4 linked regions of the Arabidopsis thaliana genome follow. The protein of the gene in region 3 purifies or fractionates together with the protein of the main gene of each other region. This does not show direct contact. Each region holds a gene or a part of one and is shown on either strand. Other genes may lie near its edges.

Evidence for each region.
Region 1: the proteins of AXL (region 3) and UBA 2 fractionate together in Arabidopsis thaliana (co-fractionation; one large-scale study listed by BioGRID). This does not show direct contact.
Region 2: the proteins of AXL (region 3) and UBA1 fractionate together in Arabidopsis thaliana (co-fractionation; one large-scale study listed by BioGRID). This does not show direct contact.
Region 4: the proteins of AXL (region 3) and ECR1 fractionate together in Arabidopsis thaliana (co-fractionation; one large-scale study listed by BioGRID). This does not show direct contact.

What each region holds. Positions count from the first base shown.
Region 1 is NC_003076.8:1,967,796-1,976,046, forward strand, and holds UBA 2 (ubiquitin activating enzyme 2), read left to right. Parts: upstream 1-2,164; 5' UTR 2,165-2,283; intron 2,284-2,434; 5' UTR 2,435-2,443; coding exon 2,444-2,765; intron 2,766-3,106; coding exon 3,107-3,324; intron 3,325-3,517; coding exon 3,518-4,312; intron 4,313-4,521; coding exon 4,522-5,390; intron 5,391-5,471; coding exon 5,472-5,904; intron 5,905-5,990; coding exon 5,991-6,587; 3' UTR 6,588-6,732; downstream 6,733-8,251. Other genes in the region: AT5G06450 (Polynucleotidyl transferase, ribonuclease H-like superfamily protein), read right to left, coding at 74-694; AT5G06470 (Glutaredoxin family protein), read right to left, coding at 6,864-7,583. UniProt on the Arabidopsis thaliana protein: Activates ubiquitin by first adenylating its C-terminal glycine residue with ATP, and thereafter linking this residue to the side chain of a cysteine residue in E1, yielding a ubiquitin-E1 thioester and free AMP.
Region 2 is NC_003071.7:12,851,192-12,860,357, forward strand, and holds UBA1 (ubiquitin-activating enzyme 1), read right to left. Parts: upstream 6,537-9,166; 5' UTR 6,320-6,536; intron 6,195-6,319; 5' UTR 6,179-6,194; coding exon 5,848-6,178; intron 5,486-5,847; coding exon 5,268-5,485; intron 4,971-5,267; coding exon 4,176-4,970; intron 3,764-4,175; coding exon 2,895-3,763; intron 2,570-2,894; coding exon 2,137-2,569; intron 2,038-2,136; coding exon 1,441-2,037; 3' UTR 1,138-1,440; downstream 1-1,137. Other genes in the region: AT2G30105 (LRR/ubiquitin-like domain protein), read left to right, coding at 1-88, 205-319, 398-517, 604-717. UniProt on the Arabidopsis thaliana protein: Activates ubiquitin by first adenylating its C-terminal glycine residue with ATP, and thereafter linking this residue to the side chain of a cysteine residue in E1, yielding a ubiquitin-E1 thioester and free AMP.
Region 3 is NC_003071.7:13,755,194-13,762,357, reverse strand, and holds AXL (AXR1-like protein), read right to left. Parts: upstream 4,766-7,164; 5' UTR 4,657-4,765; coding exon 4,619-4,656; intron 4,511-4,618; coding exon 4,338-4,510; intron 4,245-4,337; coding exon 4,081-4,244; intron 3,988-4,080; coding exon 3,877-3,987; intron 3,791-3,876; coding exon 3,711-3,790; intron 3,581-3,710; coding exon 3,430-3,580; intron 3,336-3,429; coding exon 3,242-3,335; intron 2,993-3,241; coding exon 2,904-2,992; intron 2,701-2,903; coding exon 2,627-2,700; intron 2,530-2,626; coding exon 2,367-2,529; intron 2,297-2,366; coding exon 2,211-2,296; coding exon of another isoform or gene 2,207-2,210; exon of another isoform or gene 2,105-2,206; coding exon of another isoform or gene 2,074-2,104; exon of another isoform or gene 2,032-2,073; coding exon 1,948-2,031; intron 1,862-1,947; coding exon 1,681-1,861; intron 1,580-1,680; coding exon 1,496-1,579; 3' UTR 1,206-1,495; downstream 1-1,205. Other genes in the region: AT2G32415 (Polynucleotidyl transferase, ribonuclease H fold protein with HRDC domain-containing protein), read left to right, coding at 1-111, 204-363, 469-799, 988-1,051; GLR5 (glutamate receptor 5), read left to right, coding at 6,125-6,386, 6,736-7,164. UniProt on the Arabidopsis thaliana protein: Regulatory subunit of the dimeric ECR1-AXL1 E1 enzyme.
Region 4 is NC_003076.8:6,450,918-6,457,425, reverse strand, and holds ECR1 (E1 C-terminal related 1), read right to left. Parts: upstream 4,179-6,508; 5' UTR 4,052-4,178; coding exon 3,938-4,051; intron 3,847-3,937; coding exon 3,683-3,846; intron 3,547-3,682; coding exon 3,344-3,546; intron 3,262-3,343; coding exon 3,029-3,261; intron 2,925-3,028; coding exon 2,862-2,924; intron 2,781-2,861; coding exon 2,724-2,780; intron 2,569-2,723; coding exon 2,447-2,568; intron 2,319-2,446; coding exon 2,201-2,318; coding exon of another isoform or gene 2,060-2,200; exon of another isoform or gene 1,967-2,059; coding exon 1,676-1,966; 3' UTR 1,393-1,675; downstream 1-1,392. Other genes in the region: AT5G19190 (uncharacterized protein), read right to left, coding at 1-77. UniProt on the Arabidopsis thaliana protein: Catalytic subunit of the dimeric ECR1-AXR1 E1 enzyme.

The sequences.
Region 1 (8,251 bases), on a different chromosome or scaffold from region 3:
GATTCAGGTACAAAGTCATTTCCATCAAAAGAACCAAAAAAAAAAAGAAGCAATCACAGAGATAAGTAGTAAATCACTCATCGGACAATTGATCCCAAACATTGACGATGAGCCACCCTTCAATGGCTGCAGCCTCAAGTTGTTCTTCAGGACCTGCCTTCTCCCATTTGGCCTCAATCGAATCCAGCTGGCCCAAATCAGACCACAATACTCTGTGCGCTAATTCTCTTGTCCCAAGAAACTCAAGCACCAGAGTTCCACGAGCTTCCGCAGCCAATTTCCCAACGTTAATCGCGTTTCTTATCACGAGACCGTGGTTTTCTCTAAGCAAGTCCAGGTCTTCCTCGATCTGCACTCCAACAAAAGTGACAAACTTGGAAGCAAAGAAACGGTACAGATCCTTGAGATTGTCATGAAAAGGTTTAGGAAGTCGAAGGAAGAGACATAAGTTTCTAGTGCTCAGCTTCACCGATGACAGACTCCACCCTGACGTTTTGGTTTTGGTTTCAGTTTCAGGAAACCCCACATCCCAGTACACATCGAAGATCACCGCTCGGTTTCCATTCAAGATAGAATCTTCTCTTATAAGTGAAAGGTATGGAGAGATATCTGTTGATGATCCAACATCAATGGTCTTAGTCTGAACATAGGAGCCATCAGTCATCTTGAACTTTGGCCCATCAAAGGAGGCCATGTGATGAAAAAACACTAAAGAATATTCACAAATCAAATTAGATTCAACGATAACTGACAAAGTTGTAGCTAAACTTATCTCAATACTAATAGAAGTGGAAAGTAAGATAGTGAATCCAATCATCACTCATATAACTTGAGCACCAATAAGGTTTCCTCTTTTTTATAAAAAACTACAAGTATTCATGAGTTGGAAACTTGGAGAAATTGGGTGAAGAAAGGACCACACATTGAATAAACAATGATCTAGCATCGAATTGATCAAAGTAGAGGTAAACAAACTTTTTTTTTAGTTTTGGCTACAAATACCATTGATCACTCCCCCTAGTTCTAGGTTTCATGACCTTTCTGTGCATCAAAAGATAACAAGAAAGAAGCGAAACTTTTTGTTCTATATCTCTTAGACTAATTAACTAATGGAGAAACAAAAACATTTGATTCTATCTTAGTTCTTGTAACCCAAAACGATCGATCCGAGAGATAAAATCCCCTAACTATCATCTGAAATTGGAATCATACTAGTCAAATTCAACTTAAAAGAGACATTAACTGATGAGAAGTTAAGAGGAGGACGAACCTTGAAATTTCGCGTCCGGTTAGGGATCGTAGTAAGCGAGGAACAGTTCTTCTGGTTTCTGCTGGAAGAGAGAAGACTAAATCCCCGCGAGGGAAGAAGAAATCACGAAATGGAGACACATTTCCTCAGCTTGCTTAACCAACCATACGTTAGTAATTTAAGCTGACCAATCCGGTTCAACCGAAATTCTATGTCTTTTGAATGTTTTTCTTGACTTTTTTTTTTAAGGGGTCCTTGTCAATCTTTGTTACCAACGCCAATTCACACAAGAAATATAATGTGAGACATTTTTCATCGTTATCATACAACCGTGAATATACTTGTCAAGCAATGTTGGTCAAATTCTCAAGATACAAGAGTTTTTTTTCACGCTAATGTAGTCACACTACAAATCCATTAATATTATTTTTTTCGTTTAGAAATCACACATAAAACATAGATTGTGTTTGTTGGTATAAGTGATAGAGAGAGCATCCCCATATCATTTTCCAAACACAAATGCTCACACCAAAATGGTTGAGTTCATAAGGTACATTTCCACACATTATGCTTAAGTTTCACTCTTATTACACTTCTTTGAAATGTCTATTAATCTTTAGGAATTAGCAAGTACGACACACATTCAAATATCCAACAACTACTCTCTCTTTATCAATCAACAAATAAAAAACAAAACTTGATTGATTAACAATTTCAAAGTTTAAATTCAATCACACCTAACCTGAATTAAAATTTGGTCTATTGCATACTCAAATCCGGTTCAATGTTACAAGACCAAAACCAGATATTTATCTTAAACTGGTCCACTTGAAAAAACGAAAAAACTTACCACACAACACAGGCTGATTCTGAATTCAGCACAAATAGTTTCAAAGCCCAACAATCATCGCCCAATTTTTGTTATATACCGCCGCTTCTTTCTACACAACCTACAAAGCCAAAAGCTTAGTATACTCTCTCTTTCTACTTTAACAACAAATTCGCCGCTTATCGCCTCCGATCTTCTCTCAAAGGTACGGTTTCGTTTTCATTTCCTCCGATTCTCGTTTCTTCTTCAGATTCCTTCATCGATTAGCTCTAGGAACCTTCTCATCGGAATTCATTTATTGTCTTTGTTTGTTATTCGAAGCTTCTTCTGTTTATTTGATACATATTCTCTTTCAGTTACTCTATATGGAACCATTCGTTGTTAAGGAGAACATCATCGCATCTGCTTCTTCGCCGATGAAGAAGCGACGGATCGATCACACTGAGTCAGCTGATGGTTCTGCGATTAACGCTTCTAACTCCAGTAGCATCGGTTTGAACAACAGCATCGGTGGTAACGATACGGTGATGAGCATGGCGGAGTTTGGTAACGACAACTCCAACAATCAGGAGATCGATGAAGATCTTCATAGCAGACAGCTCGCCGTTTACGGCCGTGAGACTATGAGGAAGCTTTTCGCTTCCAACGTTCTCATCTCTGGGATGCAGGGCCTTGGTGTTGAGATTGGTAACGATTTTTGTACTTTTCGTTGTTAATTTCTGCTTGCATGTTATTCCTGTGCTTGTCCTGCTGGTTGTTAAAGAGCTTCAAGCTTGAGCAAACGTATTTCGTGATTAAGCTGTTTTGATGTTGTGTGTACATTTGGGCACTTGAAGTTGAGATTGTAAAATTGGTATATTAACTTGTTAATCCTGATTTTCTAATGAGTTAGTGACACATTATATAATGGAAGGATTATTCAATATTCACTATAGATTTGTAATGAACTAATGACTGGTATAGCTCTTTATTCTCTTCGTTATTTCCTTCTTTCTGATGGATGATTTTTTTTTTTTTTTCTTATTTAGCCAAGAATATTATTCTAGCTGGTGTGAAGTCAGTGACCCTTCACGATGAAAATGTGGTTGAGCTATGGGACCTATCTAGTAACTTTGTTTTCACGGAGGAGGACATTGGTAAGAATAGAGCACTTGCTTCTGTTCACAAGTTGCAAGAACTCAACAATGCTGTGGCTGTCTCAACTTTGACTGGGAAGTTAACCAAAGAGCAGCTTTCTGATTTCCAGGTATCCAAACCCTTCCTTTATTTGGTTTGTCTTTGCTTCCTTGTTCTAGTTGTTAATAATACTATCATGATTCATGGACATAATTATCTGTAAAAGAGATTAGAGGTGACTGAACGTGGATGAAAACGTTTCTACTAAAAGTACAGAATGTTTGGCTTTAGTGGTTGATTTCTTTTTTTTTTCCTTGATGCAGGTTGTGGTATTTGTGGATATCTCTTTTGAGAAAGCGACAGAGATTGATGATTATTGTCACAGTCATCAGCCTCCTATTGCATTCATCAAGGCTGATGTTAGGGGGCTGTTTGGGTCTTTGTTTTGTGATTTTGGACCTCATTTTACTGTTCTTGATGTTGATGGGGAGGAACCTCACTCTGGCATCATCGCTTCTGTTAGCAATGAAAATCCTGGATTTGTTTCGTGTGTCGATGATGAGAGGCTCGAGTTTGAAGATGGAAATTTGGTTGTTTTCTCTGAAGTTGAGGGAATGACAGAGCTAAATGATGGAAAACCAAGGAAGATAAAAAATGTCAAGCCATTTTCATTTACCCTGGAGGAAGACACCTCTAGCTATGGGCAATATATGAAGGGTGGCATTGTGACTCAGGTTAAACAACCAAAGGTGTTGAACTTTAAACCTCTTAGAGAAGCACTTAAAGATCCAGGCGACTTTCTTCTAAGTGACTTTTCAAAGTTTGACCGACCACCTCTTCTCCACTTAGCATTCCAAGCACTTGATAGGTTTTCGTCTCAAGCAGGCCGATTTCCGTTTGCTGGTTCAGAAGAAGATGCTCAGAAACTAGTGGAAATTGCAGTTGACATTAATGAGGGTTTGGGTGATGCAAGGTTGGAAGATGTCAACTCTAAACTGTTGCGGCATTTGGCCTTTGGATCCAGGGCTGTTCTGAATCCTATGGCTGCAATGTTTGGTGGCATTGTTGGGCAGGAGGTTGTCAAGGCATGCTCTGGGAAATTCCATCCTATCTTTCAGGTAAAGACTTTTCTGTTTGGTTTTTCAGGGGCTCATCTGTTCGGTCTTTGTATGTTAAACTTCTACTTGTTGAGCAATGCTGTTCATCTATGTTATACAGGCATTTACTCTACATGAGTCCTATACCAGGACTAAAGTTTCTCTTCCCTTGTTAGTAGTATTTCTTTTATACTTGGTAATGTGGTAATTAGTTTGCATTATTTGTGCAGTTCTTTTACTTTGATTCGGTGGAGTCACTCCCCAAGGAACCTCTTGATGCATCAGAGTTTAGACCACAAAATAGCCGTTACGATGCACAGATCTCTGTATTTGGGTCTACTCTTCAGAAGAAACTCGAGGATGCCAGAGTTTTTGTTGTAGGGGCTGGTGCTCTTGGATGCGAGTTCTTAAAGAACTTGGCTTTGATGGGTGTGTCATGTGGCACCCAAGGGAAGCTAACTGTCACCGATGATGATGTAATTGAGAAGAGCAACCTGAGTCGTCAGTTTCTTTTTCGAGATTGGAACATAGGACAGGCTAAATCCACAGTTGCCGCAACAGCAGCAGCTGGAATAAATTCTCGCCTCAACATTGATGCTCTGCAAAATCGTGTTGGACCTGAGACCGAGAATGTCTTTGACGACAGCTTCTGGGAGAATTTGACAGTTGTGGTGAACGCTTTGGACAATGTCACTGCAAGGCTTTATGTTGATTCAAGGTGTGTGTATTTCCAGAAGCCTCTCCTCGAGTCAGGAACCCTAGGTGCAAAGTGCAACACACAGATGGTTATCCCTCACCTCACTGAGAACTATGGTGCCTCGAGAGACCCACCAGAGAAACAGGCTCCAATGTGCACCGTGCACTCATTTCCTCACAACATTGATCATTGCTTAACATGGGCTCGCTCTGAATTTGAGGGTTTGCTTGAGAAAACACCAGCTGAAGTTAATGCATACCTCTCAGATCCTGTTGAATACATGAAAGCGATGAGAACTGCTGGTGATGCCCAAGCAAGGGATACTTTGGGACGTGTTGTTGAGTGCCTCGAGAAAGAAAAGTGCAATTCATTCCAGGATTGCATAACCTGGGCTCGTCTGAGGTACTCTCTGTTGGCCCACACCCTTCATTGAGACTATATGTAAAATGATTTTCTTCTCTTTACATAATTGCTTGCTTACAGGTTTGAGGACTACTTCGCCAACCGTGTGAAGCAGTTATGTTACACATTTCCTGAGGATGCTGCTACTAGTACAGGAGCTCCGTTCTGGTCTGCCCCAAAGAGATTTCCTCGCCCACTCCAATTCTCCTCAACCGACCTGAGCCATATCAACTTTGTCATGGCTGCATCTATCTTGCGAGCAGAGACATTCGGAATCCCTACTCCTGAGTGGGCTAAAACCCGAGCAGGACTAGCCGAGGCTGTGGAAAGAGTAATTGTCCCCGACTTTGAGCCGAAGAAAGATGCAACTATTGTGACAGATGAGAAGGCTACAACTTTGTCTACAGCTTCAGTCGATGATGCAGCAGTAATCGATGAACTAAACGCAAAACTAGTGCGGTGCAGGATGAGCTTGCAGCCAGAGTTCAGGATGAAGGCAATCCAGTTTGAAAAGGTGAATCATAAATGTATCCAAGTATCTTTCAGATTCTGTATTTGAATTATAAGAGCAACAAACTAACATTATTTTGCTGTTCTTAGGACGATGATACCAACTACCACATGGATATGATCGCTGGGCTAGCCAACATGAGAGCAAGGAACTACAGTGTTCCCGAGGTGGACAAGCTTAAAGCCAAGTTCATAGCCGGAAGAATCATACCCGCGATTGCGACATCAACTGCAATGGCAACAGGTTTTGTTTGCCTTGAGATGTACAAGGTCTTAGACGGGTCACACAAAGTAGAAGACTACAGAAACACATTTGCTAACTTAGCACTTCCGCTCTTCTCCATGGCTGAGCCGGTTCCACCTAAAGTGGTGAAGCACCAAGACCAAAGCTGGACTGTTTGGGACCGGTGGGTGATGAGGGGAAACCCGACCCTAAGGGAGTTGCTAGACTGGCTAAAAGAGAAAGGGCTAAACGCATACAGCATATCTTGCGGAAGCAGTTTACTGTACAACAGTATGTTCTCAAGGCATAAAGAGAGGATGAACAGAAGAGTGGTGGATCTTGCAAGAGACGTGGCTGGGGTTGAATTGCCTGCTTATAGACGTCACGTGGATGTTGTAGTCGCTTGTGAAGATGATAATGATGCTGACGTTGATATCCCTCTCGTATCAGTCTACTTCGCCTGATTAGAGAATTTTAATTAACGTCCCCAACGAGAGAAGCTTTTAATAATTACTGTATTCTTGGGATATGAAGTTGAGTTTCAGAGATAGAGAGAGTTTTGATGTATGAGAATAGAGTTAACTTCTTAAAATTTAGAACTAAATTTTCAAATTTGGTGTTTTTCACTTATTCATTACAAACATAATACGATTAAACAATCCTAATACAAAACGTTTTTCTCACACATCATTTACTACAAAGTTAAAAATCAGATAGTTATTATTAGCTTATAACAGCAACTACGTACAAAGAGGACATTTCACAAGTCCATTCTCATTACATTCTCTGCATCTTGTCCACATATTATCATTACTACTCTCTTCATCGTGATGCTCTGCAAGCAATCTTGTGCTTCCATTGCAGCTAGAACATATCAAAAACCTTTCGTTCTCGCAAGACTCGCAAGGTGAATCAACCTGTGAGATTCCTTGTAGTAGCTTCTTCAGCTTCCCGTTCTCGTTCAATGCCACAACTTCTTCTGCTCCACCAATGTACCTACCTCTAATGAACAGCCTCGGAGAGGTAACTTTCCCACCAAGCAACCTCCACATCTCTTCTCTAAACTCTGAATCCATGGAAACGTCTCTCTCTCTATACATCACCTGGTGATTCTCCAACAAGAATCTCACTCTTCTGCAAGCTTCAAATGTTTTCCTCACACTTCGCAGGCCCGTCGTGTAGAATACAACCGAATCTTCTCCTCCGGGTGGGCAATTCTCTTTAAACTCCAGAAGAATCCCTCTTTCTTCTTCAAGATTATGTTCCTCTGCATCCTCAAGCTCTAGTAGTGTTGGTGTAACACAACCTTTGCTTTGACCAGATTCAGCGACTATTTCGTCTCTTAGATGATGGATTGTGCGATCAATGGTACTCTTATGAAGAGTTAAGCTTTGCTTCAACGTCTTGACAGTGGTGATGAGTTTGATTTTCTTCACCAATCTTTCCTTCATTCCCTTCATTGCTAACAAAACTTGGATCTTTCAAAAATCTGAAAAGAGGATTTAGAGAAGAATTCTGATCAAGATAAGATCGGGTACGAGAACAAAAACAAAACAAAACTTAGTGGCTAATGGGTTCTTCGTTTTCAGGTTTCTTCTTTGGTTAACGTGTGGGTACCCAATTTTGATGAATAAAGTTTCAAAAGCTACTTTCTGGTTTAGCTTTCAAAAGTCTTTCTTGATGGGTTTTCATCAGAATGAAAAAAGAAAGAAAAAAAGTCTTTGTTTTTTTTTTGTGTTGATGGGTCATTGCTACAATAATGTAAGATGTGATGATAAAACTCACACCTCAATTACAGAAGACAAAAGACACTCATGACATGAGTAATGATTTTACCCAATCAACCCAATTTTGCCAGAAGGCTAAAAACAAAAAAGGAAGATGTTATAATGGAGCTTTAAGAAATATAAATCTTTCTGGTAAGAGTCATCAATTGATTTAGCCTGTCTTGTCTTTTACAATTCCAGAAACGTGCAATGATGTAAGATTGGTAAAGAAGCTTAGCTTTAGCTAGCTTGCAAATTCGAATTAGTCAAAATTTTCTATTTAATCATATACTTTACTCTGATTACTTTTTCGCATTACATATGATGGTTGAGACCTTGTCAGTTATACCGTTCCAAGCATT
Region 2 (9,166 bases), 900 kb from region 3:
TTGATGTCACCAACAACAAGTTGACAAGTCTACCGAATGAGTTAGGACTTCTGACGCAGCTTGAGATTTTGAAAGCCAACAACAACAGGCAAATAAGCTTTACTCATATCTTTTAATTGATCGAAAACACAAAAGTTTCAGTCGTAGCATTGTGATTCATTGATTACATTGCTCATGGTCTCTCCATCGTTTTGTATTCTGCAGAATAACTAGTCTTCCTGAGAGTATCGGAAACTGTTCATTCCTCATGGAGGTTGATCTTTCAGCTAATATTATATCAGAACTTCCCGAGACATTCACCAAACTGCGTAATCTAAAGGTAAAAAACAATCTTTTGACTACTCTTTGTTCCATGGCCATGGGTTTACAAATACTGACTTAGTGTTTCGGTATTCAGACGCTGGAGCTGAATAACACGGGATTGAAGACGCTGCCATCGGCTTTATTTAAGATGTGTTTGCAGCTCTCAACTTTAGGTCTCCACAACACAGAGATAACCGTTGAATTTCTCCGCCAGGTTTGTTTGTTCAGAGTTTCATGTTTTGAGTCTATAGTTCTTTCTTCGTTATCTGAACTGAAACAAGGATATTTGTATTATGACAGTTCGAGGGATATGATGATTTTGATGAAAGAAGACGTACCAAGCATCAAAAGCAGCTTGATTTTCGTGTTGTGGGATCTGGCCAATTCGACGAAGGCGCTGATAAATCTTGGTGATCAAGCCAAGTCGAGTCTCGAATCGTCAGTACTCTTAATATATTTGTGGCACTTTCAGTGAAAAAATCTTTCTCCTTCATGCCTATATATTGTTTGCTTACTCCAATTTGAATTGTAGTGTACCAAATAAATTGAACCACTCTCAAATTGAATCCAAAATTTATGCAATGAAACCGAATAAACGAAAACTACGATACCTATTGTTAAAAAAGCTCATCAATTCTATAGCCGAGTCAGTCAGTATAACCGGTAAAAAGGAAGTAAAGGCAAACAGCTTTTGAGTCTAGAATCTTGGGTTGGGGTTAAGAGAAGGTGGTGCTCGAGACTTGACCCTAGATTATATCTTTAGTTCTTTGCTTCAATTTGTTCTCTGTAAATAGATTCACAGAGTGGATATTATTTAAGGTAGATTATATCTTTCGGATTCTTATCGCGAAACACCACCTGCAAGAAGACATGGAAAAAACCGAAAAACTCGAAGATTTGTTTGATAGAACATGTTTAGAAGGTAACGGGTGTGTAAACCACACATTCAGCAATTGTACATAGAAAGAAAGACTAAAATAGAACGAGAGAGATAAAATGAGTCTCTATCCCCCTCAAGTAAAAATCAGTTATCTCACCCACAAGCATCCAAAAGATAATAACGTAGGGCAGATGCAGAGACAAAACACACAAATTTGCTCTCAAGAGTTTCATCTTTCTTCATTCTCTCGAAACTTTTCACCTGAAGTAGATAGAGACGAGAGGAATATCGACGTCATTGTCATCTTCATCCTCACAAGCCACCACTACATCAAGATGGTTGCGATAAGGCGGTAACTCGACTTTCGCAACATCCCGAGCGAGATCCACAACCTTCTTGTCCATCCTCTCCTTGTGCCTTGTGAACATACTGTTGAACAGAAGACAGCTTCCACAAGAGATGCTGTATGCGCTAAGCCCTTTGTCCTCCAGCCACTGCAACACCTCACGAAGAGTTGGGTTTCCCTTGAGAACCCATCTGTCCCAAACTGTCCAAGCCATGTCACGGTGCTTCACCACCTTTGGTGGAAGTGGTTCAGCCATGGAGAATAGTGGAAGTGCCAGGTTGGCAAATGTGTTTCTGTAAGCTTCCACTTTATGTCCTCCATCAAGGACCTTGTACAGCTCGAGGCAGACCAGCCCAGTAGCCATGGCTGTTGAAGTCGCAATGGCTGGGATGATTCTCCCTGCTATGAACTTTGCTTTCAGCTTGTCCACTTCAGGGATGCTGTAATTTCTCGCCCTCATGTTGGCTAGTCCTGCTATCACATCCATGTGATAGTTTGTATCATCATCCTACAAACACATCAAATTCAAAATGACAACACTCAGTTAAAAATTGTAAACAAGACAAGTCAATATCAGTGAAGACGATAACATTGGAGGGTAATATACCTTTTCGAACTGAATAGGTTTCATCCTGAAGTCTGGCGACAAGTTATGCCTACACTGGTCGATCTTAGCAATGAGATCGTCGATGACTGCAGCGTCGTCCACCGAAGCAGTGGTTAAAGTGGTAGCTTTCTCATCAGTCACAATCTTTGCATCTTGCCTTGGCTCAAAGTCTGGGACTATCACTCTGTCAACAGCTTCTGCTGCTTCCTTTGGGTTCTTAGTCCACTCAGGTATCGGGATCCCAAATGTCTCTGCTCGTAAAATAGCAGTCGCTGTGATAAAGTTAAGGAGACTTGGGTCGGACGACGAGTACTGGAGTGGACGAGGGAATCTTTTTGGAGCAGACCAGAATGGAGCTCCGGTACTAGTCGCAGCATCTTCAGGAAATGTGTATATCAATTGCTTGACACGGTTCACAAAGTAATCCTCAAACCTAGTCACATAACATAACAAACACATAAATTATTGCAAAAATCACAGACTCCACAGAGGAAGGAAACGATTTATTCCCACTTCTACATATTGGTTGTAGCTACCTGTTGTGAAATGAAGTTACCTTATAACACTGTTCCTAGTTTTTTATTTTATTTTTTAGTTTCGTAATGATGTTTTCAACGAATAATTAAGCAATCCTGGGATGAAGCACATGACAAAAGCATAAAATAGGAGACTGTAGCAGGACATGAGTAAGACACCGGACTATATTTCATTCCATATTACGACTAGACTATCTAACTAACTATTAAGAGTGATATTACCTCAGTCGTGCCCAGGTTAAGCAGTCTTGGAAGGTCTCACACTTCTCCTTTTCAAGGCACTCAACAATCCTCTCCAATGTGTCCCTCGCCTGAGCATCACCAGCACTCATCATTGAGTTAGTGTACTCAACTGGGCTAGAAAGATATGCATTCACTTCAGCGGGAGTCTTCTCCAGCAGACCCTCAAACTCAGAGCGAGCCCAAGTTAAACAGTGATCAATGTTATGCGGGAAGGAATGCACTGTACACATGGGGGCCTGTTTCTCTGGTGGGTCCCTTGAGGCACCGTAATTTTCAGTTAGATGTGGGATAACCGACTGTGTGTTGCACTTTGTACCAAGAGTTCCAGACTCAAGGAGAGGCTTCTGGAAATACAAGCACCTCGAATCAACATAGAGCCTCGCATTAACATTATCCAGTGCATTGACGACAACAGTTAAGTTCTCCCAGAAGGCATCGTCAAATACATTCTCAGTCTCCGCGCCAACACGGTTTTGCAGGGCCTCAATGTTGAAGCGAGGATTTATAACAGCAGCAGCCGAAGCAGCAACTGTGGATTTAGCCTGTCCAATGTTCCAGTCACGGAACAGAAATTGACGACTGAGGTTACTCTTCTCAATGATATCATCATCTGTCACTGTCAGCTTCCCTTGGCTTCCACAAGAAACCCCCATCAGAGCCAAATTTTTCAAGAACTCACAGCCAAGAGCACCAGACCCTACTGTGAAAACTTTAGCATCTTCAAGTTTCTTCTGGAACTTGGCCCCAAATACAGATATTTGGGCATCATACCGGCTGTTTCTTGGTGCAAAGTCACTCGAGTCCACAGGTTCAGAGGGGAGTGACTCCACTGAATCAAAGTAGAAAAACTGATAAACAAAAAGAGTCACAACATCAGATCCCAATACGAAACTTTAAACAATATAAATGTATCAAAAAAAGAGGAAACAGCTGTAACTTCCCACAACATAAAACATTAGGAAAAAGGAGAGATGCGTATTAGATAATGTTCCTTATTTTCATTAGAATTTCTATTTCTTTATTTACTTTATCTAAACAGCTTTCATTTAGCTTCTAATATATTACATAGGGATGAAGAGAGCTTAGGAATTAATTACTCTTGGGTGTATTTCAACTTCTGTCTTGTTACTTTGATTCGGTTTTAACAAAAGAGAGCTTTGAGTTTAAATTCTAGTGTTTAAAATTCTTAACTCGAACAGAGAACTTGGCATGCAAAGACTAAATATGTGTTCTCACAAGTCTATAGAAAAGAAATTTTACCTGGAAGAGAGGATGAAATTTTCCAGAGCAAGCTTTAACAACCTCCTGTCCAACAATACCGCCAAACATTGCAGCCATAGGATTCAGGACAGCCTTGGCTCCAAAGGAAAAGTGTCTTAGAAGCTTCTGATCAACATTCTCCACCTTTAAATCACCCTGCCCGGTATTGATGGCTGTGGCAATCGATATAAGCTTCTGAGCGTCCTCTTCTGAGCCAGCAACAGGAAATCTGCCAGCTTCAGCTTTAAAATGATCAAGTGCCTGGAATGCTAAGTGAAGGAGTGGAGGCCGATCAAACTTAGAGAAATCACTAAATAGAAAATCCCCTGGATCCTTAAGCGCTTCCCTCAATGGCTTGAAATTCAGTAACTTTGGCTGTTTCACTTGAGTGACAATACCACCCTTCACATATGTTCCATAGTTAGTAGTGTCCTCATCAAGGGTGAATGAATATGGCCGTGTACTTTTTATCTTCCTTGGTTTCCCATCATTCAATTCTGTCATACCCTCAACTTCTGAGAAAACAACTAGGTCACCATCTTCAAACTCAAGCCTCTCATCGTCGACACAGGAAATAAATGCCTGGTTCTCATTAGAGATAGACGCAATGATGCCTGTATGGGGTTCCTCTCCATCAACATCAAGAACCGCAAATTCAGGCCCAAAATCACAAAAGACAGAGCCGAAAAGACCCCTGACATCAGCCTTGACAAAAGCGATAGGAGGCTGATGGCTGTGACAATAGTCATCAAATTCGATTGCTCTTTCCATGCTTATGTCAGAGAATACAACAACCTGTTTGGCACAAAAGTAGATGTATCAGCGTAAAACCCGCCAACAAGAAACACACACCAATGAGAAAAGTGTACACCAATCTTCCATATCAATATCAATAAACACTAGAAATAGCCTAACACTAAATGAGACAAAACCCATCTCTTATATGCAACGAAAATAGAACAACCCACTCTTATGTTACTCATTCAGTTACAGTGTTATCATAAACTCACAAGTAATCTACAGAACGATACAGTACACAAAAGACTCAGACCATATAGAACCAATAACAAGACAAATGAGTTGTCTACAAACCTGGAAGCCAGAAAGATCCTCTTTGTTTAAGCTTTTGGTCAAGCTAGAGACAACCACAGCATTGTTAAGATCCTGTAACTTCTGAACAGAAGCATCTGCTCTATTCTTGCCAACATCATCCTCCGAGAAAACAAAGTTGCTTGATAAGTCCCATAGCTCTACAACTCTTTCATCATGCAAGGTCACAGACTTCACACCAGCAAGTATAAGATTCTTGGCTGAAGAAAATCAACAAATAAAACAAAAACTGAATGAGAAAGCAATCGACTAAAAAGTATCATTAACAGTTCACATTTACCATGCATCTTAGAAAACTGGCATATAACGAAACCCCAATAACAAAGATATCGAACAACTAAGGAACATCAGGAAGCTACTAAGATTTGGATGTTGAAGAATACCAGCAATCACAGATCAGGAGAACCAAAACAAAACAACTAAAGAGTAAAATCTTTGAAGATGACACAATTATTCACAGCTTCTAATAACGACGCATACGAAAACAGTGTTTCTACAAGTTTCAAAAACCAAAGAGACGAGGGAGACCACAATCTCAACATAAAACCAATGAAGTACATACCAATCTCGGCACCAAGACCGTGCATCCCCGAGATGAGAACATTGGAAGCAAAGAGACGCCTCATAGTCTCACGACCATAGACGGCGAGCTGGCGACTGTGCAGATCTTCATCAATCTCCTGACGGTTCGAATTACCAAAAGCCATGTCGATTTGCTGAACGACGCTATCGCCGTGAAAACCCCTGCTACTACCAGAAGCTAAAATCGAAGAAGACTTATCAGACGAAGATTCAGTGAAATCGATACGGCGTTTCTTAGATGATGCTAAATCGGAACCGATGATGGTATTATCGTTCTTATCGTTAGCTTCACTAGCTCGCTTGTGAAGCATAAAGTGATGAAAAAACCTGGAGAAAACATGTGAAATTCCCATTAGATTAGAGAACACTGAAGAGAGAAAATCCGATCAGAATTGAAATACCTAACCCTAGATTGATTCTTCGGAAGCTATGAGAAGGAAGATAAAACGTACCTTTGAGGAAAGCAGACGAGAGAAGATTGGAATCGGAAAAGAGAAAAAGTTTTTGAGATCTGAAAATTGAAATTGAAGTGACGAATTTTGCAGAAATCTCTAAGATTTATTTAAGAGAGACGGGCGAACGAAAGGGGTTCGGTTGTGGGGGGATATGAAACGATGACGTTTTAACGGTTAAGGTTTGATTTGTCGCTCTTTCTCCGCGTGATTGTGACGGCAACTCTCTGACCGGGGGACACGCGTCCGTCACTATTTCAAGACCAGATCCGGTTTAGTTAATTTCTTATGGATCCTTCTTATGAATCTGTATTAAATCTGAAATATTGCTTTCTTTTTTTAATTACCAAGTTCAAAAAAACTCACATCTTCTTTTGGATAACTGGAAACTTTAATATTATAATTAAATATTAGATCAATTTCCAGCTATGAATATTATAATTAAATACATTTTCTTCTAAAGTTTCTCAAAACAATCTTTTGAAAAAAAATTCATGACTTTCTATGACTTTATTTTGTGAAAGAAAATGTAGAAAGTCATGAACCAATAACATAATAATTTAAATCATAAACAATCAGAGATTTTTTTGTTTTAATAGAATAACACAAAAAATTTACTGACTTTATAAAAGTATGAATTCAATAATCTAAAATTTATGAAGATTTTTAGATTACTTTTTACAAATCTTTAATGAATAACACAAACTTTTAACATACTTTTAAATTTTTTTGATTAAATAACAACAGATTCTACATGATACTTTAAGTCACTAAAACTCTTTTGAAATCATAAACCAATAACACCTCCTTAACTCGTGGTTAGTTTATACAAAAATAAAACTCTATAAATTAATACTTGATAACTTACTTAATCACTATATTAATAAACGATTGTAAATTGAAATTTAACTTATGATTAGTTTGGTTAAAAGTGTAGATTTTGGAGTTGATGTTGCAATTCCATGGATAGACGATCTTGAAATATTTGATCGCAGTCCATGGGAGTGAGATTTCATCAACTTTCAATTTCTAGAGGGAGAAAGCAACAAGTCGTGGGTCTTCTTTTATCCAACTAAAAATGTTCATCTTGGATATTTTAATTGCAATGGTGCTCTTATAAAGTGGGGCAGTGTCAATTACTATGTTCATCAGTTTCAAATGGGTCAAGAAGTTGTGAGCACTTCTTCTAAACTAGCTTACTTAAGGTATCATGATGATTTACCCATAGAGTTTGTGGATGATTGGCTAAAAGGATGGAGTTTGGCAGAGTATAACTACAAAGGCAAAAGTCTCTACACTCTCAATTTCTCACCTCAGGCCAAGTCATTCATCACCCTAAGAAAAAACAAAAATGGAGTTGTGCAAAATATCTTCCCAAGACGAGTACTAATGATGCTGGTAAAAGAAAGGAATCCACTGGTGCTCCCAAAACGAAGAGGATTGCTAATAAAGACAAGGCTGACAAAGTGGCAAAGAAAACTAAAACTGGGGAAACCCTGAAGGTGAATGTACTTCAGAAGCAATACGAGTTAAAGGCATTTTGTCGAGCTCGACAGGCAGTATTGAGCTAACTGATAATGAGGGTAAGTGAAGAACTCTTCTATTTGTAAGAAAAAAACAGCAATTTAGATATGCTTAAAAGATAAGTTATCTTGTCAGGTGATCGTGCTCTATCTGATATTGGTGCTGCATTGGATGCTAATATGAGGAAGCAAAATCTGAAGCTTTAAGAAGGAAAGGCATAATAGATGCAGTTGAAACCTGGAAGCAAGCTAAGGAAGAAGAAAAATGGCTTCGTGACTACGAAAAGGTAGGTGAAGACCTGTGATACATCAAGAGAAGATTGACTTGATTAAAGTAAGCATTTCTTATTATATATTCTTGATCGTCTTTATAGGATGGAAACCTCTTCAATCTTGTAACTCGTAAGAGGAGAGTACGAACACTTAGAACGTGCTAAGAGTCTTGTCATGCAAATTCCTGGTGAGTCTTTATACGCGTAACCCTATTACCCTCTCTTTTTGAAGTAATGAACAAAGACTTAAGATGATAGTATTGTGTTTCTTTTCTAAGCCATGATTGAAGATCTAATCATTGAAGTGAAGGCTTGGGAAAAAGAAAGAGGAATCCCCTTCTTATATGATAAGGAAACACTTTAATGTAAACTTGTTGATTAAGCTTGTTTTTCTGATTCTGATATTGATTTGAGTAAACTTTGTGCATGTGGTTTGATAAAGCTAGCTTTTGATGTATGCCTCTGTTCTTTCTTTTTATCCCCTAGCACCCATTATTACAACTTTTGGAGGAGGAGATTGCAAATTGATTTGTATCAGTAGCTACTGATACAAATCAAGTGAAGTTAGTTCTGTAAAGGTGGAGAAATTTGCCAGAGAGGAATTGCATCAACTGTTGTTTGCCCGTGACTGAGGATGAACTCGAGTGTGTAAGAGGTTGCATGGAACAGAACAAACACACTCTGCCTTTTTCTTTATTCTTTCAAACAGTTGGTATTCAAGAAATTGTAGAGAAATAATGCACTAACAAAATGTAGCAGAGATTTTTCATGCAAAGAACCATCAATATGTCTGTCTAAATACCTTATATATTCAAATTTAATATGTTGGTAAGTACAAATCAAATGGAATAGTTTTAAAAATTTGTAATTCTAAAAGGACCACAAACTCTTGTCCTTGTTTGTTTATAGTTGGATGAGGTATGTAAATTAATGTAAACCTCAAAAATCGAACTGAGAATACAGAGTAGAAAAATTCTTCGAACTTCAATCAAATAAATTATTTGGTTGAATACACTCGCTAAATAAGATACACTAAAACAAAAATTGTCAAA
Region 3 (7,164 bases):
GGTGACTCTGAGGATGCAGGTGTCTCCCCATTACATCTTAGATCAGCTGCAATGGCGCTCTTGCGACATGGGAACAGAATGCCATCAAGTCGCCGTGAGGAATTGTTGCAGGTGATGTGATCATCTAACTATTTCAACTTTCAAGAAATTGATTTGAACCAAGTATTCTGTTATTGATACTTTCTTTTGGATTCTGAATATAGACTGTGAAGATGTATTACGGTGGACGGGACCTATCTGAAGAAGATTTAGAGAAAGCTTTACTCATCGGATTGAGCCCTCACGAAAGAAGAAAACTCGAAAGGAAAAAAGGGGTCTCCTTCAAACATTCTGCAGAGGTTGCTGGTATGGACAAACAAGAAGGTAACCATATAATAAGCATTGAAAATTGTGTTGGTTGATAAAGTGTAAGATATGATGATCCTTTGATATCCAGAAATACTGATGCAAACAACTTCGTATCTTTAGATGAAAACAATGATGGGGAGGCTCTTGCAGATTTTGAGAAAATTATGACTGTAGAAAGGAGCACAGTTGTTGATGATAGTGGTGATGGTACAAGTGAAGGAGATGGAGCTAAAGAGCTAAATGATACTCAGTGTAATGGGAATACGTTGCACCAACAAAACTCCAAACTCTCTTTGTTAGGACATGGACCGCACGGGAAACAGATCGTAGAATATCTTTTAAGGGAACATGGAGAAGATGGTGTACGTGATTTCTGTCAAAGGTGGAGAAAAGTGTTTGTTGATGCTGTTCATCCTCGCCATTTACCTGGTGGTTGGAATGTTAGTCACAGGTAAACCTTAGATTTACGTCTTCTTTTTAATTATAAACTTGAGGTTCTACTTGGATGTTTATCATATCTTGTTGTGACATGAGACAAGTAACAACTTTTGTGTTAGAGAACCAAAAGTCTTTGAATTTACTAAAAGTGAATTTATGTGGACCTTGTTCTTTACAAGGGTTTGATTGTTTTGTTGCTAGTGGCCGAAGAGACTTTGGAGAATTCAGCGTTTACAATCCCACAAAGAGACTCTCCACCGAGTAGATTTGTCTGTTTCTGTACCATCTCTACCGTTTCGTCAATTTTGGATTGTCATAATCTAGGATTATTTTGTAATCCCCCGACCGCATCAGTGGTTTGTTGTTGTATTCTTCTGTAGACCTCTGTACTTTGTTTTAGCCAAAAGTCTGATCCTTTTAAAATTGCAGTATATGACTATTTTGAAACGATACCAGAATTTTGCTTTAGGAAAGTCATACAAAAATGGCTCTATGCCCATCACTTAACGCGAGCTCTTCGGTTTTGAACCGCGGCTCAAAATCAATCAATATACATGAGGAATTCGAAACTGTTTCTACAAAGAAATGATATCTAGTTAGTCTGGTGTATAGCAGAATAAAAACTCCAAGAAAAGGTTAAGTTTCAACTTGAAGTGAGGGTAAAAGATATGTTGGAGTTCTTCTGCAGCCACCAGTGTCTAAGAATCTTCTATAATGTCAAAGACTGAGACTTGTGATCAATGCCGTTGAAGATGAAAGTTCCTCGCTTGGGAACAAACTGCTTTGTGATGAGCTGCAAACATTGCCAAACCATAAAAGAGGTTAATGTTTGTTTCACACTCCTATTTGATACTGCGGGGTAACCATTTTGAGCAACATGGATATGAAACGAACCTTGATCACTTCTTGAGATGTGATTCCTCCTATTAAAGCAGCAACCACGTGAATCTCTGCAGCACCAAATCTACACATCTCATTGTACAGTTCTTCCTGAAGTTCATAGCCGTCACAACCCATTTCACTAAGAAGACTCAGGGCAATAGTCTTTAACTGGGATGCGTCCTCATCAGTTGATCTATGAGAAAAGAGACATGTTAATGGCCTAACAATGCCAAAATTATTCAAGATACAATCAAATTTTGCCAGAATGTGTTCTCTTACCCATCAAACTGTCCAGGAAACTTCTTATAGGTACCAGCAAATCTATCAACAGCTCTAAGAAGAATATAAAATCCAATTGCGCCACTGCAAGAGGAATAAACAGAAAAGTGGTAAGACCCTTAAGAGCTAACAGCAACATGCCTCCAAAATGCTGCAACTGTAAATATTATTTTTCAGTTCTACAAATATACTCCAGTAATATTTTTGTTATCACAGTCTCTATGGTCGTATAAAAGAATCAATTTTGACGAAGTCATTCTTACCTGTAATTCTCATCAGCCAAGTACTTATGTAGTTCTGTTGTAGAAGGACTTTTGAACTCGTCTTCTATCGTTCTATATCTGCAGACCTACAAGGCGCAATTCCCGGTTTTAATGATACAGTACACATCAAATTGTAAGAAATTTCAGCATTCTCACTTTAAGTTTTCGTGCATTCTTGCAGAAGCTCTTGATAGTTGGCTTTGAGATGCTACTTGGATCCTGACCAACTTTAACTAGAATACTTTTTACTCTCTGTTCCATGGAAAGAAAATCAGCTTCCGCTTTGGAATGGTAGATTTTCTGCAAATTGATGTAGTGCCTGCAAAAGATACAATACAGCTATATAGTAATCTGATAAAGGTGATGGACGAATTTTATCCCTCCCATGAAACAAAAGCAAGAACAGGAGAACTTACTCTGTGGAAGATATCATATCAGGCATGGAACCTTCAAGTGGTACCTCCCCACCACCTTCATTTGAAATAAACTCCTGCAGATGATGCATATAATAAGTAGGGTTAACTTGGATCAGAAAAATCTGAGGAATTTGAGCCATGTTGATGGGAATCAGAAAAAAAAGCTAACTTGGATCAAAAAAATACTAAAACCCCAACAAACGTTCTCAACCCCTTCCATGTTTGAAATATCAATATGAAGTATGTGCTTTGAAGTGAGGTCTTTCAAGTTACAAACCTTGAGTGCTGCTACCATTACCCAAAAATCTGAGGAATTTGAGCCAACTTCAGCACAACTATCATGATTAATGTCTTGAATCTCTTGGCCTGGAGAAAAAGAAAACATGTTTAGTTCAATGTGAAAACTGACTTCATATTTTGAACTCCAATGTTAACTGATCTGTTATGAATGAGCAGCAATGAATCATGCTTCATGAAAATAGTAGATAGTTGTCCATTTGGTTCTCGTTGCAGTTTTTCCCATTCTCCAACCAATTTCTTTATTTCCAGCATCTATAGTATATATTTAAAAGTCCAGTTTCCACCGATGTCAAGACGAGGTGTATGTATACTTACTGATTCCTGTAGGAGCAAAGACTTTGAAAGCTGCAAGAAGGGCTTCTTTGTAATTTTCTTCATCCGCTGATACCATCTTGGACTTAACTAAGTCCTAAAATTTCAAGGAGTAAGAGAGATAAAGACAAGGAATCACAAGAAAAACAAAGATTAATAACTGTTTGCTGATTAACAAAAAGTAAGGATACCTTAAACTCGTTTTTCTCTTCCCTGGTTGATGGAAGGTTGCCGCTATGGTGTTGAGCCCATTCTTCAGCCACCTTGACTAGAATGACGACGTAAGGAATGTGCTTATGGGCAGCGGGTTCTTCTACATTTAGATCAATGGACTCCACATAGCTGCAGATCATTGAATAAATAAGATTTTCTTTCAACTGGTTGCAAGTTTGTGGAGATTAAAAGTAATTTGAAACACAAGTTTAAAGAATGGCAAGAACACATAACGAGTGAGAAGATTGAAGCAGAGTACCTCTTCAGCTCAGGCCATGGACTATTCAAGCGGAGATCATCAAGAGAATGATCAGGCTTTGTCTCAATAGCGGTGTGTTCCTGACAGGAAAGAGCGAACATGACATAGCAGTTAGCAGACAGACCATATGACAAGTGACAAAGCACTCTATCCACAAAAATCTTACCTTTACACTGATACGAACAAACCCAGTAAGTCCATAGGAGCGAGCCAAAACCAACATGACGTTTGCTTCCCGGCAGATTCTATCTAATTTCACCATTGAATCTTCTACTAGCTACAATCAACACATGACAAACTAATAAGGCAAACGCTCTGTGAAAATCTGAAAACAAAGACTAGAAACTATCTAATCCTCAACATAATGTACCTGAGTGGCGATAACTAGAGTGAACTGAGAGAAGAAAGATGGGTCTGTCGATATCAAAGTGTCTGGATTCTCCTCAACAAAATTTGCTTTAACAGAATCGTTAAGCTCCTGAAGAAAGCCACAGACCGTTTTGGCTCTTGACTGACCAACGCTCTTCGCATCCACTGAAACATCAACAACAATCATCAATAAATGTCAATAAACAGCAAATAGAAGAAACGCATTGCTTAAGAAAGATGAAAAAGAGAGAATTATACCCATGAAATTGTTTCCAAGGTCGCCAATTTCTACTTTAGATCCGTCGACAATGGTGATACTTCCGATTCCACCAATAACAAGATTCTTTAGAGCCTCAGAGCCAGTTGGACCACAATTGAGCAAACATATGCTCGCGGTTTCAAGAGCTGATTGACCTAATTCTCCCCAAATCCTATGAATTTATCCCCAATCATCACAATTTGAGCGAAATTAAGAAGAATGATGAAAGAGACAGAGAAGTTGAAGAAGAGAAAGAGAGTTGGGAGGAGAAAGAGTGCACCTTAGCTGACGATCATACTTGGTTTTGGGTTCCGCCATTGTTGGTTCGTGCTCGAGTCTTTCGCGGGTTTTTCAGTGGTTCGTGTTCTCAACTTCAGACAGAGAGAAAGAGAAAGACGCAGAGAGAGAGAGAGAGAGAGAGAGAGAGAGAGAGAGGTTGTGACTTGTAAGAAAGAAAGGGAATGGCATTTAATAAGAGAACCTTAAGTTGTCTCCTTTCTTTATTTCCTTCCTAATTTGGAACATTTACAAAGTTTAGGGCTTAATTGTAATTTTTAAAAATTAAGACTGTATTATTGCAAAAACACCTTAATGTATAAAAGAGATAACAAATTATAAATAAAAACATATAATTTAAAATAAAATCAAAATTTATGTTTTCTGGATTGAGTTTTCATTTATTAAAATATATATATACATGGAAACATATCAAAATTTTATATAAATTGTAAAAATAAATGACATAGCTAGAAAAAAACACATATGTAATTTAATTAAATATTATTAGATGAATAAGTGATAAAATCTCATTATGTAATAGTTTTTTGCCGCCTAAAAATCTTTATTATGAATAAAAAACGCCAACTCAAATTTTGCCTTGCTACGGGTCTCTCTTTATGCAAAAATAAAATGAAATACTATTAACATTTCATTGACAAATTAACTTAAGAGAATAAACTTTTGAGAAGAAATAAAATGATTAACACATGGCAATTAAAATATTTATATTGTAATCTAATCTTAAATAAACTTAACAAAATGGGCCGTTACATGTAGGGCCCAATAATGATGGGCCCCACTGAAAACAAAAATACAAACAAACGGCTGCTGTGACTATAGAGTATATAGACTAGATAGGACTTTGTGAGCTCGAATCAAAAAAGCACTTCAGTCACACGTTTTTCAATTTCTCTCTTCTATTTTGTTCTCAGAAGAAGAAGAATGATGGATGAATTTCTGGGCATGATTTGATCTCTCTAGTTTTGTTTCTCTTCCTTTAGTAATCTCCTGTCAAATCATGGTTTTTTAAAAAAGATAGTTCTTGACTTCTCTTGTTAAAAATTCGTTGCGTTGTCGTAAAATTTCCCTTTTTTAACTTATGCCTACAAAGTGTTTGCGTATATTCCGCAGAGAGAACCAGAAGGTAGCTCAAAGAGGTAAAGAGAATGTCTCACTGTTGTTAATTTCAATGAATTTGTAAAAACTCTTTTTCAGATTTTTCTTCTGTCCGGATGAGTTTGTGTATATAAGTCTTCATATCCACATTGTTGCTAGTTTTCAGCTAAAATAATCAATTTGGTTTGACTTGTGATTGCTCTTCGCTTAGATCTTGATTCGTCTTCTAATCGCATTGACTCTACAGGTCAAAGTTGGAAACTTTACCTTGCTTAGTTCTCTAATCTTCTCATCCTCAATGCTGAATGAAGAGTTGCTAGATTTAAATGAGATGGTTCTAGTTCCAACACAAACTATCTGAAGTGGTCCTTACTTTGATTGCATTATCTCCATGGGACTGGGCATTGACCCATCTGTCGCTATTACGGCACTGATTGTGGTCATTCTGGTGGTTCCAATGGATTGCCAAAGACCTCAACTGGTGAACATCGGTGCTGTTTTTGCTTTTGATTCGGTTATCGGAAGAGCTGCAAAAGTAGCTCTAGAGGCAGCTGTTTCCGATGTGAACAATGATAAAAGCTTTCTCAAAGAAACGGAGCTACGGCTATTAATGGAGGATTCTGCCTGCAATGTCTTTCGTGGGTCCTTTGGAGGTACCGTGACTGTTCTTCTAGTTCTTTTGTGTTTCAAACACTTGTGACACTCATCCATGGCTGATACAGTATATCAAACATATTATAGAAAGCGGTCAATGCACATCAGTAGCAACAATATTTCATTTTGTGATAGTTGGAAATGATTGGCACATCGATTTACGTTTTAATCCGTTTTTTATTGGTACATATTTTGGGTTCCGAATGCTAATAATGCATAGAACAATATAGACCGCATACCCTAAACAGGCTGTTACTAGGACCTGTGTTTCCTGTACATAAGTGGAAACAAAACTTTGGTTTTACCACTAAGGGCCTGGTTTAAGCTTCAGTGGTTTTTGTTTTGCAGCTTTTGAATTGCTTGAGAAAGAAGTGGTGGCTATGATCGGTCCAATTTCATCCTCTGTTGCTCATACAATTTCCGATATTGCAAAAGGGCTCCACTTTCCTCTTGTCTCATTTGCAGCAACTGATCCAACTCTCTCTGCCCTCCAATTTCCCTTCTTTCTTCGGACTACACCTAATGATGCCCACCAAATGTCTGCCCTTGTGGATCTTATCAATTTTTATGGATGGAAAGAAGTGATCTCAGTTTACTCGGATGATGAGCTCGGAAGAAATGGAGTTTCTGCTCTAGATGATGAACTGTACAAGAAAAGATCCAGAATTTCCTATAAAGTGCCGCTCTCAGTTCATTCTGATGAAAAATTCCTTACTAATGCTTTGAACAAATCCAAGTCCATCGGTCCTCGAGTTTATATTCTTCATTTTGGTCCGG
Region 4 (6,508 bases), on a different chromosome or scaffold from region 3:
TCCATGATGAGAAGAGAGATCTGTTTGCTTATGTCTGCAAAGAAGACATCATCATCAAGCTCTAACTCCATAGCCATAGCTCTTAGCTTTCCAAGTTTCTTGAAGACTTGTTTGTTTTGTAAGCCAAGTCTTGTGTGTGTTTTTCTTTTGGGTTTGCTTCAAGTGGAGTTCGAGGGAATGTTGAAAGAGTCAAATAAATAGGCAAGAGATTGGGCATTTAGAGAGAGATAGAGACTCAGAGAGAGAGGGAGAGAAGAGCATGTGGGTGGGAGAGTAGGGCCAGAGAAAAGAAAGAGACTTTTTTTAACAATTGTAAATCTAATCTGGCTAAGTCCCCACTCAACACAACATGAAGGACAGAAGGAGGTTGTGCATTGATGTTATCCAGTTGTTACATTTTTTAAAAGATAGAATCAAAGTTCACACACAACCCATATCCACTCTGTTTTCGTTACATTTAACATAACTTATGTCACATATTAACCAAAAAACTTTTGATATAGCTTTTACCAATAGAATTGAAGAGAACTAGAGAACCAACAACACTTATTTACATGCAAAAACTATCATGGCAAAAAAATAAAACTATCTTTGATAGGGCCAAGGGAAATCTTTGTTATGGCTATAAGATCCTCGAACAGCCACATCCGAAGACAGTTTGTGGTTGGCAATTGAGGAAATGGACAATGATCAATTTGGATTTGGGAGAGAGAAAGAGAGAAAATCTATATAACTCATTGATATGATATGGTTTGAGGATAGTGTTTGAGTGAAGTAGGGTCACACACCAATCCTACTTCATAAAATCGATTTCCCAAGTGAAAGCTTGATGGTCTCTATATTATTATTATACATAAACAATTATCTATTTTCTTTTTACATATCACTATTTTTCTTTATGAACTTTTGATGTTTACTCATTTTTGTTGGTCTTTGATTTCTGATTGCATGTTCCCAACTCTTGACCTTTTAATGGTGATAATGAAGAAAGAAGTCGTAGAACTACCTTATCTCTTTACCCATACTACGTTTCAAAAGACTAGTTTTAAAGTCTCTAAGATCTAGTGAAAAGAAAAGTGCAAGCAAGTATAGCCACAAACAGAAGAAGATAAACAACAACAAAAATATAACAAGATAAGTTTAAACCAACATTAAAAAGAATATAAGAAGAGTCTTTGTTTCATTTTGGTGGTGTTGGCGTCTACTACACCAACGGATGAAACAATCTATTGTTTGTCTTACTGTTGCAATTGACGTTTGTAACGGCTGGTTTAATAAACACATTTTGGTTAATGCTAAATTCAAAAAGTTATTACAATATTAGTTATGTATGTACTTTCTCATTATTGTTTTATGTTAACTCTATGTTACGTTTAGGACATAATCAGAGTTGCTTGTATCTGAAATCGCAGGTAGAATCCTGATCATATGAACTGTTAAGAAAACAATCTCAAGACACATCTTTGAGATTAAGAACAATCCGAGATTAAGAATAATCATATAAACTCACTGTTTGGAGTCATTTTTTGTTCCCCAAGCAGTAAAATTCTGCAGTCACAGCTATTAAACGACATACAAACAAAAAAGGTACAAAAAATAAGAACTGGACTAGTCAAGCTGCCCAATTATCTCAATGGATCTAAAAGCTGCAATCAAAGGGTTTCTCTGTCGGTTTTCATGCTCCAATGGCTGTATCCATGTCTGCAACACCATCGGCTCCTTTGAATACAACTCTTACCTTCGTTGTGCACGACTCTTTCTCATTGTTCTTGAGGGCTCTTTGTCCAAACACGTGGATAGTGTCCTTCTGGACTCTTCCCATGAGGTCATAAAGCGGCTTGCTTAGCTTTGGTCTGTGAAACTCTTCTAGAACCGGAGGTGCCTGCATGTAGAGAGTGTTTTCCCCCTGTTTAACACTTGCTTTTGACAATAGAAGCTTCGGGTGATCTTCAAGCATCTCAATGAACTAGGACAAAGAAAAACAAAACATGAACAAATAAATGGTAAAGAATTGAGACGCAGATTTACATGGACAAACAAAGCACGAGTAAATTGAGATTTAGCTAAAACCAAGCCTGGAAAAGCGAGGAGATAGTAATAGAGAAGATAATTTAGCATGAATGAAGCAATACGTGAGTATGAAAATCAAGATAATCGTGGTATAAAAAAGACAATGAGATGATAATGCGAGAGGAAGGACCTTTGATAAAGTGACTGAGGTGTCCAGCTCAATCAGAATGCCCGGACCACATACAAGACATTCGGTGTCCCTCTCGAACTTTGTCACTTCAGTGTAAAGACCCTCTCCACCGTTATACCTTGCGAAAATGAAAACCAACCAAATTGCAACATTGAATTATTTGTAAATTCATATATTTAACTTTTAGTAGTCTAGCTGTACTCCGAACACTAGTAAGTAAGGTGGAAAGAAAGAAATAAACCATACGTCAAATAATTTACAAGTGTTTTGCTGCATGCAGACACAATCTTCAAGGTTTCAAGTGCACAAGCTGCAGATATTATCGCATTGGTGGAAGCAATCGCCGGTATTATGTTTTTAACCACACCCTACACAATAAAACAATCGTCCTCTCATTACTTCTTCATGAATACAAATAGCATACGGATTTCATCGTCCATGCTTAAACAGTCACCGGTACTTCAGCCGAGGACTGGAAATTTACGAAAGTGAACACAAAGAATAAGAGAGAACGGTTACATACTTGTGTGAGAGAGTATGTGACACCTGGAATTCCAAAAAGCTCAGCTCTCCTGATAGCCTGTGAAGTAATGGTAAATATAAAATAAACCCAAACCCAAATTAAAAAACTATAGCATAAACAAGTAAAAGAATAACTAACCTCATCATAAACCCACTTCATATGTTCTGGTTCATCAGGATCAAAGGTTTTCCCACGATGAACCTGCAGAAGTAAGAATCGAGTTTACCATGAATAAACCAAATACGTATTCACTAGGAAAGAAGAGTCTATTTCAGAGAGACTACAGAAAGAATTCATTGACATACCGTTTCCCACTGAATAAGATGAGCATATTCAATGCAATGAGCTGCATTCCTAGGGGTTTCTGCAAGAGTGCACAACGGAAACTTCACTTGAGGTGGGAAAAGATAAATAGTGCACTCAAAACAGGGTGTAACTCCAGGCAAGATAACTCTAGCATGACCCTTGAAACCTTCAGTTCCCCCATCTACCATTGGCTTGATCGTTTCTCTTTTCGGAGTATCATCTTCATTATACTCTACATTTCACAAGCACATTATCAGACAGAGAACTTCAAAAAGCCGAGGGATAAAGTATTAAAGGTTAAAGAATTTGCATACCAAGAAACCCACAAGCTACCCCATTGATGTATTTGCGAGCTTCGATAGAATCAAGACCAAGAGCAATGATATTAAAATCGTTATAAAACTCAATCTCTTTGTCTTCTATACGTGAAAAATGCGGCACAATCTCTACTCCACTCACTCTCTCCATTACACGCTTTGCTGCTACCTCTGCCTTAGGCTTTCCTACATCTTCAATCCTAAAACAACAATCAACCAAATTTCAATTCCCACAAAGATAGCTAACAATTTCACAAACATACCACACACACAGGGAACATAATGGATAGGGTTTATAGTGGTAAAACCAAAGAGACAAAAGAAGGAGAAAAAAACCTGAACAGGAACTGGCGATTGAGATTAGTAACCTCAATACGGTCCATATCAATCACTTCGAGATTACGAAAACCAGAAAGAGCTAAATCCTTGAGAAGCTCACAACCCAACCCACCCGCACCAATCACCAAGATTCTCACATAATCCCTTATGTCATCCCTCAGCTGTATACAGAAACAAACTTAGCTCAGAAAACCCACAAAAACGATACGGAATATAACCGAAGAAGCGAATTGAGGGATAAAAGGCGTTTACGCCGGGTCCGGGTACGAAGCCGGGGTCAACGAGATTCCCATGACGGAGAAGAAGCTTGTCAAGGTCTCTAGTTTTACTTTGAGGAACTTGAGGAGGAACATCGAGATCAGCCATTGAAACCGAGAGAGTGGCGGCGATTCACGGAGATTGATCACGGCGGAGAGAGCTCAAAAGACGCAAAGCCGATACACTGCCACAGAGCTCCGAAACTTGTATTGGCTTCTCTCTTTGAGCCGACCCTTATAGTTATTGGGTCAATACTGGGCTAGGCCCAAAACAATATTTTATTAGATCTTGATTATATTCCTTGGTTTAATTTGGACATTTATTAAAAGTTTTTTTTATAAAAGGTTTGTTTTAGCAAATCTATCTTATTAGAAAAAATTTGTGGATTATTCTGACTATTTATCACCTTTTTATATAATTTTAGCAAATTTTCCATTATATTGTTTTAATTATTGTCCCAAATTTGGTTATATTCATTTTCTTATTAATTAACTCTGTTACCAGTCCCTTACAATTGTTTTAGCAAATCTTATCTTATTAGATTTTTAATGAAATTTTGTGGATTATTCTGACTACTTATAACCTTTTTGTATTATTTTAGCAAATGTTCCATTGTCCCAAGTTTGGTTATCTATATTTCTTTTTAATTAATTAATTCGGTTACCCAATCAATCTCTCCTAGACGCGAAGAAGAAAAGAAAGACAGACACATATCAAGAGATTCAAGATGGAATCTATCTTTGATTCTCTGATAAGCACCGTTGGTGTGTTAGTTGCTTATAGCAGTCGTATATATATTTTGTGTCGGCTGCAATTGCTCTTGGTCTGCTAACGGCTGCAGTCGTATCCTTATCATCATCATCATCATTATCACGGTCCCAAGGTTTCACGATGAGACCAACCGAGTGATGGATTTATTTTGAATAAGTTACTGCTATGTAAGCTCTCAAGTCAACTTTCGATTTCTTTTCAATTAGGTTGGTATTAATTAGTTGATTATATATGGATCTATATATAAGCAAAAGTAAATAAAGTTTTCTGAGTGTTACATTTACTAATCCCTTCTTTTTTTTTCTTCGATTACACCAGATAATGCTCCCCGAAAAGCTCTTGAACACCGAAGCCCTGGTCCCCCGTAGTAAAATGGTTGTCGCAATTGTTGTTGGACTTCTTATTAATAGTATAGTACTTTGGAAAATTTGGTCCTTCGCGTTAAGGGCCCGGGAGATTTCTATATAAAACTTCTCCACTCCAATTAATCGTTGATGGATGATAAGATAAGACCGTGAAAATCGTTGGTGGCTAATAACCGATCGGCACGGTATTGAACCATAGCATAAAGAAGCAAAAGAATGACAAAGCTCATCATATGCCCAACTTCATACGTTGTGTGGCTCACCATGACTATACCTTGACAAAAAAAACAAAAAAAAAAGTTTGTTAAAGAAGAATTATATACATATTTCATATATTTATATTTACATTCTCACGAAAAAAGAATTATTTATCCTATTATAGTACATATTGTCTAAAACATAATATGTTAAATTACATAGACTCATTTTTTGTAATATTTTTTTGATATGGGTGAAAAATATGGGATCAATTACGAGATCAGGCCTTTTTTCTCTGTGTCTTTGTTCAAAACAGTATTTTTCAATATGGTACTACAATTAGGTACTTTTCTCAGCTGCATTGATGTTTTTATCCCAATCTCCAGTTCTGCAATTTACCCCAACGAGAATGGTCTCTGCAATTCACCAATCTCCAGTTCTTTCGTCTCTACAATTCACCATAATCGCAACTCCTTCAGCTCTTTCCTCGACTCATAAACTGGTGACAAGTCTCGGTCCGAAATCAAAATCCACCTACTAATATATGTCCAAATCTAAAATTGATTTCATTTGTATTTTGAAATTCTTAGGTTCCCTAAACATCATCCCTTTAGGGTATATTTTTTTTTTTTTAAAACGTAATTAATTGGATTTGTTGAGTTAATAGATGAGAAGAAGATCTATGAAGCATCTGGAAATAAAAACAGAAATAGATCGATGAAAAAGAAGAAGAAGCTGAATCAGAGTAAAATCGTCTAGTGATAAAAAAAAAATGCCCATTTACATAAGCCCACATGAAAATGCCCATTTTCAAATATTTGAGCTAAAATGTCCTTATTTTTGTAAAAGCCCCGAAAAATATGACGAATTTATGACAACAAAAAAAACTGAATTATTACATGTTTGAAAACATTTGGTATAGTATTATTTATTTATCTCATTACAATTTTGGTATTATTTATGTAAGTATATCAATTTGTATTTATTTTTTTTATATGGTAAAATATAGCTTTAAAAGCAGCGGAGTAGCCATGGTGCACTGGTGGTAGTGATGCGCAACCTAAGTTGTGTAAGTTGTAACATGTAATCGATTCTTTGTCGTTGAGCATTTTTTTTTTAATTTGTTAAAAATTATGTTCTATAAAATTAAGGTATAGATTATCTCGAATGTTAATCAAAATATATAAGATGAGTCATTTTAATCTACTGTTGAATAATTAGCGTTATACCA